Callithrix jacchus: one gene and its partners. The protein of the gene in region 1 purifies or fractionates together with the protein of each later gene. This does not show direct contact. Links are inferred from orthologs where the notes say so. Each region holds a gene or a part of one and is shown in the gene's direction. Other genes may lie near its edges.

Region 1 (3,500 bases):
TGGAATACTTGTGGTTTGGGGCCTGTGGAGAGAGGCCTGGAGGTATGTGTGCGAGAGTGTGCCCCAATCCCTGTGTCCTGAAATTTTGTGTGTGTGTGTTTTTTTTTTAATGTGAACAAGTGTCAGGAATTTATGAATACATCATAGTGCTCTTTATTTTTTCTGTAGCATTCAAAGTATGTTACGAGTATAAGATACTTCAGAGTTCAGAAATAAGGGATCTTGGGTCTTTTAGAGCAATTATTAAATAGTAAGTGAAGCTTCGTTTTCCACTGTGGATTGCCACACATCCAACCATCCAATGTTTACATCTCAACAATCCTTCACAGTTGTCCATTCATAAGAACCCCAACACCTCGGAGCCCCGACACCTGTTGGTGATGAAGGGTGCCCCAGAAAGGATCCTAGACCGTTGCAGCTCTATCCTCCTCCATGGCAAGGAGCAGCCCCTTGATGAGGAGCTGAAAGATGCCTTTCAGAATGCCTACTTGGAGCTGGGGGGCCTCGGAGAACGAGTCTTAGGTACGCAGATAACCTGGTAACAAAGCACCTGGGCATGTTTCTGTCAAGTAACCTAGTTTGGTAGACAGTTAACGAGTGATCCCATGTAACCTCTATGACTTGTCGACCTTCCTGTACATCTTTCTGGGGCAATCCTCCTACTTGTTTATTTGCCCCCTATTATTTTGAAAACAGTAAGTGCTGGAGAAATGTTCAGTGTGTTGGGCTGTGGGAATTGTCCTGACGGTTCACTTCTGACTTGTACCTAGACGTTTGGTCTCACGCTAGTCACTTCTGTTTGTTTGTTTTTTAAAAACAAAAAAAATGGTGGAAGATCTTATCTAACCTTTGTTGCTATGAACATGAACAATAAGCTTAAGTAAATTAAAGTTAATTAGTGTGTCTAAGTTAGACATAATTAGTTCCTGGCTGCCTTGGAAAGTGCTGAATTCACTTCAGCACCTAAGCACGCGGCTCAGAAACCAGACTGACGGTAAACGTTTAGTCTGAATGGCTGCCTATTTTTTCTACCCTGATGGCTACTGAGGCGAAGAAGTTCACTTTACGTTGTCTAATGTATTTGGGGAACTGGCATTTATAATATTTTGTATCGTGATTCTTCCTATTGTTCTTGACTTGGGTAAACCTAACTCATGGTATCTTTAGTATGTGTCTATGCAACCGGAGGACTGCTGTCTTCTCTCTGTCTTCTCTGAAGTACTTTGCACTGCCCTGCCTCCACCACCCCACAGTGGAAGCAGTCTCTCTCGAGTCCACGTGGCATATCATTCTATTTTAAAGATCATTGTAACCTTCATACAACACTGAAAGGAATGCCTTATATTATCTTGATTCTGGCATTGACTATACTAGATGATAAAGCCCTTGGGCAGAATGCCTCTGACCTGTACTTATCCTCAGAAGTAGCTAGAATGATGTCCCATATCGGTGCTCGGTAATATACTTCAGTTACATGACCAAGAGAGCAGAGGTATGGCCTTGATTTTTCCAGAGAAGGTAGCTGAGACAGTTAATCCCATGATTTGCCAAATCCAGATAATTTACTGTTGTTACCAGTGGGCAAGTCTAGAACCCTTAACATCCCGGTGCTCTAAATTAGTATCATCAATTTAGTCTTCTCCACGTGAAACAATTTACAGTTCCTTTGAGGCTTGGTGTGATGGATTCTGTCTTCCGAATTTCTTTTTTCTTTCAGTGACTCTGTATCATTCATAAATGTTAAAGCCCTCACTCTTGTTACAAAAATAGACTTGAAAAATCTTCCAAACTAAACATTCCAGTGAAAGGTAGATGGGCTGAATAGGCTGCCTGCCATCACTGCCTGTAGTATTAAAATTTTCAAAGGCTCCTGTCCTCTTCGCAGGTTTCTGCCACCTCTTCCTGCCAGATGAGCAGTTTCCTGAAGGGTTCCAGTTTGACACCGACGATGTGAATTTCCCTGTCGACAATCTGTGCTTTGTGGGGCTCATCTCCATGATCGACCCTCCGCGGGCGGCCGTTCCCGATGCCGTGGGCAAATGTCGGAGCGCTGGGATCAAGGTGGTGCCGGCGCCTCCGTGGCCTCATCTCTCAGTGCCTTGGGACACCCTCCTCAGTCAGGGTTGCCCTTCGAGGTCCCGGTGGCCGGCTGTTTATCTCACCTGGGGCAGTAATGTCTCGTCTCCAAAGCTTTACTTGCAGTCAGAAAAGACCGAACAGTATTAAAATATGGTGGTGTAAACGCACTAGGAATTTAACATGTTCAGAAATCCCTTGTTTAGAAAAGAAATGTAAGCAAAGTAAAAAGAGCAAAAGACTCAAGTTTTAAAATACTTGCATTATTCTAAATTAACGTATCTTATGCAGTGAACGGCATGTTTTCTGTGTTTAAGTAGCTCAATGTTACTCAAGTGTACTAGTATCCTGTTCTGGGTATTTGATGTTTCTGTTTTTTACTCTCAGGATTTTTTTTTTTTTCTTTTTGAGACAGAGTCTCGCTTTGTTGCCCAGGCTGGAGTGTAGTAGCGCGATCTCAGCTCACCGCAACCTCCACCTCCTGGGTTCAAGCACTTCTCCTGCTCCAGCCTCCTGAGTAGCTGGGATTACAGGCATGAGCCACCAGGCCCAGCGAATTTTTGTATTTTTTAGTAGAGATGGGGTTTCACCATGATGGCTAGGCGGGTCTCAAACTCCTGGACTCAAGCGATCTACCCGCCTCAGCCTCCCAAAGTGCTGGGATTACAGGCATGAGCCACCATGCCCGGCCTCCTCTCAGGATTAATACTGCCCTGAAAAGCTTTGTAGAAGTTACTCCCTCACCACTCCGACTGCTGCTTTTTAAAGTATATTCTAAGTATAATCACGGCATCAAAAAAATAACAGTTTCGAGTTCTTGCCACATGTTGCTTTTCCCCAAATTGGGCCAATTGGGAACGCTAGCCAGCAGCATTCTTTGCTGGTTTAAGTAATTTTTGAGTATTTTTACGTGACTGTAGAAGGAAGAATAGATACTATGTATGCCAGTGATTGTGTACCAAGATAAAACCTGAGGCTTTGTGTTTCCTTTCTGTGCATACATATGTTTATATTTTTGGCTAATCGATGTTCATTAGTTTTATGTTTGCATTCCTTTCCTTTTGATGGTCTAAGCTGAATCATCCTTAGTATTTACTCTTGCCTACTGACGTGGAAGACTTTTTTTAAGGTAATTTACTTGACAGTTGCATTTGACACATTGTCTTGTTTATTATAGGTCATCATGGTCACAGGAGACCATCCCATCACAGCTAAAGCTATTGCCAAAGGTGTGGGCATCATCTCAGAAGGCAATGAGACTGTAGAAGACATTGCTGCCCGCCTCAACATCCCAGTCAACCAGGTGAACCCCAGGTAAGGCAGGAAGCTCAAATCACAGTCTGCTGTGAACGAGCAAATAGTGATCATTTAAAATCTTCGGCATGGTTCTATAGTGGTTTGCGTCTAGGCTTGCTCTGAGTAGG
Region 2 (4,115 bases), on another chromosome or scaffold:
TTGAGGTTCCTGGAGCCCCGCCTTGTCCGCCGGCCTCCCTGAGGTCCTGTCCTCCTTCTGCCCACCAGTCTCTATATGGAGGATAGGGACCACCAGGCTGGGAAGCCCGGAGTCCCCAGGCAACTCCTGGGCCTGGGAAGGTCATAGAATTCATCCTATACTAACCATGATCTTGAAGAGGGCTCTTCCTCACATTCCCAGTCACTCCTCCCCCAGCCCCTACATACGGCCTCGGCACCCTGTCCGCATCCCATTCCCACTCTGTATCAGCTGCCTTCTTCCTCAGCAACCCATCATAGCCACTTTCACATGTAATCTGCCGCCTGTTTCCCGCAGCCAGTCCTGATTGCCTCCTCCGCAGCCCCAGTTGCCTACTGCTTTAGCTGGTGTGGCAGCGGGCTGTGAGGAGTGTCCTGATTCTGTAACCCGGCACCTCCTCCACAGGGCCCTAGACACCTCAAGCCCTCGAGGACTTTTGTAGATCAAAGGCGAAGGGCGTGCAGAATCTTCATCCATCTAACAAATTAATTCTTGAAACCTGCTTCGAATGGGCCTCGCGCGGAACACAGGAGACACTCAGTGTTAAACGAGACCGCTCGCTTAGGCCCTAGCAGGGAGAAGGTGACGGTTCACTCAACACACACTAACTGGGTCCCGCAGGAGGCCAGGCCCCGGCTGGTCGCCAGTTCACCCGGGCGCCCTCGGCCGGCCTGATCTCTTCGCAAAACCCAATTCATGTTTTATTGTTTTGCTTTTTTACCTTTCAAATGCACGGAAATTGGCTGCTAGTAGCTTTACTACAGGAGAAGTCGCTAATCTGCAGTGCAAACTCTGCGCACAGGGGTTTTCTCCGCAATTGTCTAGTGCTGAGCAGGCGGGTCTGAAGCGCCAGACACAATGTATCCGCAGCCCGGGAACCACAGTCGCCGCCGCTACTCTGTATCTGCGCCACCCCGGGCGCCCAGAGTCCGCGCGGGGCCTGGGACTGCTCTCGGGGGATAGGGCCCACGCAGGCTTTGATGGGGGGCCGGGGGCCACTTCGTTCACCAAGGCGAGGCTAGGGTCCAGCGCGGGCCAGTACATCAACTCTCGTGGGATCTAGCAGCACCAAGGCCGAGCAGGAGACCCAGGAGCCGGGTGCGTCTTCCATTAGCGCAGGGACCTCAGGGTCAACGCTCAGCGAATCGGAAGGCCTCCTTCTCCTTCCAGAGCGCTGCCACTTGGGCCGAGCTTTCCAGCAAGGACCCGCGTGCCCCCGCGCACGCACACACGGTGCACACGTCAGGCCTGCGCCTCCCCGTGTCCAAGCGCACGCAGATCCTCCCGCGCGCCCGCACACTCCTGCAGGCTCCCGTGTCCGCTGCGGGGGCCGCGGGGCCGGGAAGGGTAAGAGTGCGGCTCGGGAGCGGGATGGGGACCTGGGCCCGGCCTGGTAGCTTTCCCGGGAGGGGCTTGGGGGCGGAGCGCGCCGGACAGGGCGCGCGAGAGGGAAGGCGGGTCCGCGCCGCCGCCGTCCGCACCGCCCCGCCCTTGGCCCCGCTGCTCGCTCCGCTCGGCTCCGCTCCCTGCCTCCGCGCCGCAGCCCCCGCCGTAGCCGCCGCCGAGCCCGCCGCCACCGCCTCTGAGGTAGGCGCAGCGGAAAAGGGCCCCGGCTCCCTAGCACCTCGGATGGCGGGCCGGGCGCCTGGGGAGCTGAGAGGGAGGCGCTGAGGGAGGGGCGGGCGAGGGCCAGGGCGAGGGGCCCCGGGAGCCCGGCCCAAGAGAGGGAGCGGGAGCGGTCGGCGCGGGCCTAGCTGGACAGCGGAGGGCTGAGAAGGACGCGCAGGGGGGCGCCGAGCGGGCCCGGGCTGGGGAGCGCGCGGCCGAGGGTCCGGAGACGCCTGCAGCTGGCTGCGAGAGGCGGCCCGGGCTTGCAGGCGGAAGGGCAGGGGCGGCCGCGTGGAGGCACGGCGGGCTGCGCGTCTAGGTGACCTTCCCCACCAGCGCCCACGCTCGCCAGGCTAGGCCAGGCCCCGGGGCCGGTGCGGGCCACGCTGCCGCCGTGGTAGTGAGCTCACGTGACAACCGTGGCCCCGCGCCCCCAGGCCCACACGCCTTAGCTGGCCCACGCCCGCAGCAGCTGGCGCCCGGGACCGCCCGCCTGTGCCAGAGCCTTCTGGGACGGAACGCGCTGGCCGAGAGTCGACTTAGGCCGTAGAGGCCGGAGCTCAGGCCTGGGCTGGAGGTTTGGCCTCAAAAAAGGAGGCCTCACGGGGAAGGATGTGGCCTTCTTGGCCTTAGGAGTGAGTTCTGGTTCAGTCGTTCATTCATTCGCCAAATGCGGCGGGGCATTCGGGAAACTGATTCGGAGCCTGACGTTGGAATAGAGGCCCGCAGTCCTGATGATTTGTCCAAGGTCACACAACTGGGAGGACCCCAAACCCAAGTTTTCTCGTCTTTAGAATGGGAGCAGTTGTATCTCTCCTTCGTTGAGTTTTGGGGAAGAATAAAATGAATTAACATGAAACCTTTCGAGCAGTGCTGGTATGGAGAAGGGCTAAGTACAAACGCTGACACCTTTGGGGCTTTTTGGATGAATCTAGCCCATCTCCCACAGATCATTTTGCTACACATGCATTGTGGAAAGGGTTCAATAAATGTAGCTCCTGTTTTTAAGCATTCTTACACTATTATTAACAGGCATTTGTATACCAGGTATTGAGTAACTTTAGGATAATTTATGAAAAACGTTGTAAGTCTACAAACGGACATTTTCAAGCTCGAGCAGTAAGTTTGCATGTGCAGACCTTGAATGTAGGAGCAGACCCTGGTTTGAAGGTTCGTTCCGCCTGTGGCCCCTGTCCCCTTGACTAGCCTTCCCCCTCTCCTGGGGAGGTAGGTTAAAGGGCGCCTCCATTTCCTAAATTCCTCTTCTGTTGACAAGGCCAGGGCAGACTGCCGAGGGCCTGCCTTCATTCTGCCCACGCCAGCTCTGGACCAACTGAGCTCCTAAGGGTCAGACTGAGACCCTGTGCTACTTTGTCTTCAGTGACTGGGCTGGTGCTACCTGGCACAGAGTAGGTGCTTGAGAAGGGTCTGGGGCGGGGATAAATGCACTCGTGTGTCAGAATCTACCCACCCTTATTGACAGAGTTTTACTATTCCAGTAGCAGGAACATCGTAGGTGCTCATTAGGTATATGTGGAATTATTGAAGGGGCATATAAAGGGCTGCAGGCCCAGACCATAGTCCTTTGATCCTGGCTTTTATTTTTTTATTTTTTATTTTTGGAGACAGGGTCTTGCTCTGTTGCTGGAGTACAGTGGCACCATATCAGCTCATGGCAGCTTCTGCCTCCTGGGCTCAAGCAATCCTCCCACCTCAGCCTCCCAGAGTATCTGGGATCCCAGGCACATACCACTAGGCCTGGTTAATTTTTGTATTTTTAGTAGAGATGGGGTTCTGTCATGTTGGCCAGGCTGATCACAAACTCCTGGCCTCAAGCAATCCACCTGCCTCAGCCTCCCAAAGTGCTGGCACTACAGGTGTGAGCCACCATGACCAGCCCTGGACATCCTTTTGAGGGACACAGACATCTCACTTGCAGAAAACAACCTCACCTAGCAGAGAGTCACAAATATTTAAAGAATTGTAACAATCTTGAAATAAGTGATTTAAATACATCGTCTTCCTTTGAGGGAAAGTTGTTGAACTGGTGTTTCTGGGCTTGCAGGGAGGGTGAATGGGGTTCTGCAGAAGGTGTTGGGGCTGTTACTCCTTCCCTCATGGTGGGTGGATCCATCATGGCTTGTGCTGGAGTTGTCCTGAGTATGGTGCCTGCCTCAGGCTAGTGGGGACTGCTCACTGTTGATTAGTTTTATTTCTGCTATTCTAGAGTCAGGCTGTAGGCAGGGGTTATTTGTAGCACAGAAAGCGGGACCATACAGGGATGAGGTGCCTATAGACCCCTGCCCCTGCTGAACACTAGGTGGATGTGGACAGTGAACTCCATGCTGGGGTAGTGAAGGGCATCCACTCTCCACCTTTACCAGGAAGATGCTCCGGAAGCACCGAAGTCCACTTTGCCCTTGCTGGAATTTCTCCTGGTGCAGTGTCTTCGGTGGTAGTGACTGGGA
Region 3 (3,976 bases), on another chromosome or scaffold:
TGCTTACTCCATGAAAAACTGCTTTATATGTAAAATAACTCCTTCCATCTCACAAGGTGGTGGTATTATTCCCCATTTTACAAAGAGAAAACAAACACAGAAATTAATTGCCCAAGGTCACCAGAGGGTAAAAGACAGAGCCAGGTCCAAACCCAGAAGTCAGACTCCAAACAACGTTTTTAATGGTTCTGTCATGCTACTTCTCATGCAAAAGATCGTCTCAATCATTCATTTTGCAGATGAGGAAAATAAAGCCCATTTAGTTTAAGGCATTTGTCCAAAGTCACACAGCTAGTTAGTGACTAGAAACCACATGCCCTGGCTACCACTGCCAAGCCATAAGAAATACTTTCAAACCAATGCTGGGGTAACATAAAAATTATACATGTGACTTTTCAAAAGTGTTGTGAAAATAGGGGGGAAAAAACACCAAACCTGTAAGGGAACATAACTCAACAGTAGGTAAGACAACGGGTGATTCGTTTTTTTTTAAAAATCCCTTTCGTCAATCCTGACAGCATTTCAATGTTCTAAAACGTGCTTACGTTATAACTGGCAAATACATGCGACAGTTTTGTGGAGACTAAAAACAGCGGTTGAAAAAAGACAGCAGAAGAATATTCAATCATTCAACTAATGCCCTTGCAGTAAAGGGATTTCAACTACGTGTCTATAAAAAGCATACTACTCCAGCGGTTCTGGAGGAGGAGAGAGAGGTAATTCATATTACAAATTAAAAGTTAAAATTTATAATTAAGTAACCTAATAAGCACAAAAACGTTGTTCACATTTGACTTTATAGATTTGGGATGGAAGGAAAATGCCAGGTTTCCTGCAACCACCCACTTTAATCCTTTCACTGCCAGTTTGAAAAGGAAAAACACTAGCTAATACAAGCTGTCTGGGAATCATCAGAAACAAGATGATAAATCGCTCTCAAAACGATCTAACATTTTATTCCTTAAGATAGAGGTATCAGCGTATTTTTAAAGTGTGTCTTCCAGTAAGCTGCAGAATCTCCCGTTGTAATTCAAAAATACTATACGTTCACACTGGGATTACTGGAACTGCAAGAGCTGAGCTCCCGACTTGAATGTGGTAGTAAGCACAAATATGGTTTTGAGGGACCCGAGCCAGGGAGGGGCAGTGATCTGCAAGGCTAATTCCACCCAAGAAGATTTTACGATCGCTCTTGTTGAGGGTAAGGTGCTGTGAAGCCACAAAGATGCGACAGAATGGATCCCGATTCTCCTGGAACTTCGGATCAAGAAAATAAGAGGGGCGTGAGCCCAGAAGTGCGACGCAGGAGATCCGCGGAAAGGTGACAGACCGAGTGGCACCAGACTCAGAAAGTTTGGGAGTTAGGGAGCCTGAAATCGCCGCAGGAGTAGTGAGAGGGGAAGTGACAGTCCCTCCACAAGGACACAGGAAACGGGGATCCAGGGCAGTATTCCCCACTGAGGGCTGGGTCCCCGGGCGGGGGCCGGCGGCAGCGAAAGGGAGACGCGGCTCCGGGACCACCCCAGTCCCCTCAGGAGTTCTGCTCGGAGGTCTGGGATGCCCTAGACCAGGCCTTACCTCGGGAGCGGAGGATCCTGAAGGCAGAGAAACGGCCGAGGATGCCAATCGCCCGGCAGGCCACCATGTTGAGCTGAAGAGGACAGCTGTGGAGAGCGCTTCCAGCGGGTTCGGAAGAGCGGGGGACTTTTCCTCGGGTAGCCGGGGCGTCCAGGCGTCCACCGTGCTGCCTGACTAAAACCCAGATGCCGAGTGATCGCTGGCCCCTTCGCCCTGCCCTCGCTTCTGGCCAACGGGGCGGAAAGGTCGCTTTCTCCAGGGGAGGACGGGGCCCTGGAGAGGAGGGGGCGGAGTGCCAGGTTTTCCATTCAGGCGGCCGGAGGGCAGCCCGCGGGGCCAGCCGTGCCCGCCGGCGGGGTGAGGGGTCCTTTCCGGGCAGTACCCGCCCTTTGGTCCCGCAGAGCCTAGGCACTTGGATCTGAACCTTGCTCAGGGTAGGAGGTCGCGCGGACGTCAGGTAAGGTGAGATGGCGAGGGCTCAGCCCTCCGCCACGGCTTTCCCACAGGCGAGAGCCCACTTCCTTCCCCGCAAGTGTCGCGGGTGCCCCGGGCCGCCTCTCCTCCCTGGGAGAGTCGGACTTGAGGGAGCGGAAGGAAGCTCCTCGACAAGGTCGGCAGTGCCAGCTGCAGTTAGGACAGTGACTGGGACTAGCGTTGCAGCTGAAGCTCGGGAGAGTGGTGTCACCTGCGTCCTAATTTATCATCGCGAGTTAACGAAGTCTGCGTGTGTTTGGGTGTGTGTCGGCCTTAATTTAACCCTGGTCTTTGTTAGAGTGTGTGTTTCACCTGCTTCGCCTGTAGCCAAGTTGGCTGCTCTAGAGATGTGGACGGCGCCGCGGGTTTGCACTATTTCTGCTATAAAGAATGAGACAAGGTTAGGTGACCTTTTGGAGCTTGAGTGTGGGAGGAGCGGAGACAATCCTCTCTCCCTCGGTAATCCTGGTAATGCACTGCTCTGGGGGAGTTTCCGGTCTGGATGATTATCTGGTCGTTCACACCACCACTCACTTTAGCTGTGAAGAAACTGTACGAAGCATGGCCACTGTACGAAGCCTAAAAATCAGAGGGAGTGATTTTACCAGTGGTAGAAATAAGACTGGAGCCTAAGTCTACTAACTCCTAGTGAAGAGCTCTTCGTTGCATGATAGCTGTTTTTGTGCTGGAAAGATGGGCTGGAGTCCTGAATAGAGTGATTCGTTTCAAAAGGAAGTCACATGGAGCGCTCTGGGCACCTTCGTACCTTTTTGTTTAATCTTCACTTTCCCCACATTATTATCGTTTGCATTTTCTAGATGAAGTTTGGGGAGCTCCGATTATATACATTTTCGGGTCTGTCACAGAGCTAGAATTCAGGCATAAGTCTGAGTCTCACTACTACTCTGCAAGACAGGAAACAAGGGGCAGGGAAGTTAAGACTGAAATGAGGAGTATAGAAACAAGTAGAGAGGTTTCTGTTTAAAGCTCAAGTTACATAGTGAGTGTTAATCATTGTGAGCACTTTAAGCAGAAACTGGATGATCTGACCACTTCTGAATAAATTGCAAAACGAATTCTTGATAATCTTACAAGGTTTTTATAGTTCAAACCCTGCCTCCTGCCCATCTAATGCTTTCTTCTTTAACACCTAACTGCTTGTAAACACTTACTATTTAGGTCGGAAGTGGTCATTTTTTTGTTGTTAAAGGTCTAGACAGTAAATAGTTCTGTTATGTATTGTTTCTTTTGCTTTCTTTACAACTTTTTTTTTTTGAGACGGAGTTTCACTCTTGTTGCCCAGGCTGGGAGTGCAATGGCGCCATCTTGGCCCACTGCAACCTCTGCCTCCTGGGTTCAAGCGAATCTCCTGCCTCAGCCTCCCAAGTAGCTGGGATTACAAGCGCATGCCACCACACTGAGCTAATTTTTTGTGTTTTTAGTAGAGATGGGTTTCACCATGTTGGTCAGACTGGTCTCAAACTCCTGACCTCAGGTGATCCAGCCACTTCTGCCTCCCAAAGTGCTGGGATTACACACGTAAGCCACACCATACCTGGCCTTACAACTCTAAAAATGTGAAAAACTAAAAAAAAAAAAAAAGAAAGTGAAAATATTTTTAGCTAGAGTGCCATATGTTATAGCTTGCCTATCTCTGATTTAGATCACTCATTTGGCTCCAGTTTTTTTTTTTCCTCCCTGTTCTCTCTCCACAAAACTAAATTCCATCAGGCCAAAAATATTATGATGTTGCTTTGGTCCCCAAGCTCTTTAGTCCAATGGCTTATCTAGAGGGAAACAGTATGTTGGTATCACCACCCCATTTGTAATAGCAAACACAGGTATACTCCTGACTGTATCAGGCACTGATTTAAGTGGTGTGTGTGTGTGTGTGTGTGTGTGTGTGTGTGTTTCTGTCCTATGT

Evidence for each region. Proteins that work in one complex are often made in the same cells at the same time.
Region 2: the proteins of ATP1A1 (region 1) and VDAC1 fractionate together in Homo sapiens (co-fractionation; 3 studies listed by BioGRID, with this or other methods). This does not show direct contact. The link is inferred for Callithrix jacchus from reciprocal best matches to the Homo sapiens genes ATP1A1 and VDAC1.
Region 3: the proteins of ATP1A1 (region 1) and HADHB fractionate together in Homo sapiens (co-fractionation; 3 studies listed by BioGRID, with this or other methods). This does not show direct contact. The link is inferred for Callithrix jacchus from reciprocal best matches to the Homo sapiens genes ATP1A1 and HADHB.

Annotation. Positions count from the first base shown.
Region 1 is NC_133508.1:154,398,555-154,402,054, forward strand, and holds part of ATP1A1 (sodium/potassium-transporting ATPase subunit alpha-1), read left to right. Parts: intron 1-329; coding exon 330-522; intron 523-1,885; coding exon 1,886-2,061; exon of another isoform or gene 2,062-2,609; intron 2,610-2,745; exon of another isoform or gene 2,746-3,253; coding exon 3,254-3,390; intron 3,391-3,500. UniProt on the Homo sapiens protein: This is the catalytic component of the active enzyme, which catalyzes the hydrolysis of ATP coupled with the exchange of sodium and potassium ions across the plasma membrane.
Region 2 is NC_133503.1:74,318,809-74,322,923, forward strand, and holds the start of VDAC1 (non-selective voltage-gated ion channel VDAC1), read left to right. Parts: upstream 1-1,315; 5' UTR 1,316-1,410; coding exon 1,411-1,626; intron 1,627-4,115. UniProt on the Homo sapiens protein: Non-selective voltage-gated ion channel that mediates the transport of anions and cations through the mitochondrion outer membrane and plasma membrane.
Region 3 is NC_133515.1:89,122,605-89,126,580, forward strand, and holds the start of HADHB (trifunctional enzyme subunit beta, mitochondrial), read left to right. Parts: upstream 1-1,176; 5' UTR 1,177-1,578; coding exon of another isoform or gene 1,579-1,645; 5' UTR 1,646-1,823; intron 1,824-1,945; exon of another isoform or gene 1,946-2,312; intron 2,313-3,976. Other genes in the region: HADHA (trifunctional enzyme subunit alpha, mitochondrial), read right to left, coding at 1,579-1,645. UniProt on the Homo sapiens protein: Mitochondrial trifunctional enzyme catalyzes the last three of the four reactions of the mitochondrial beta-oxidation pathway.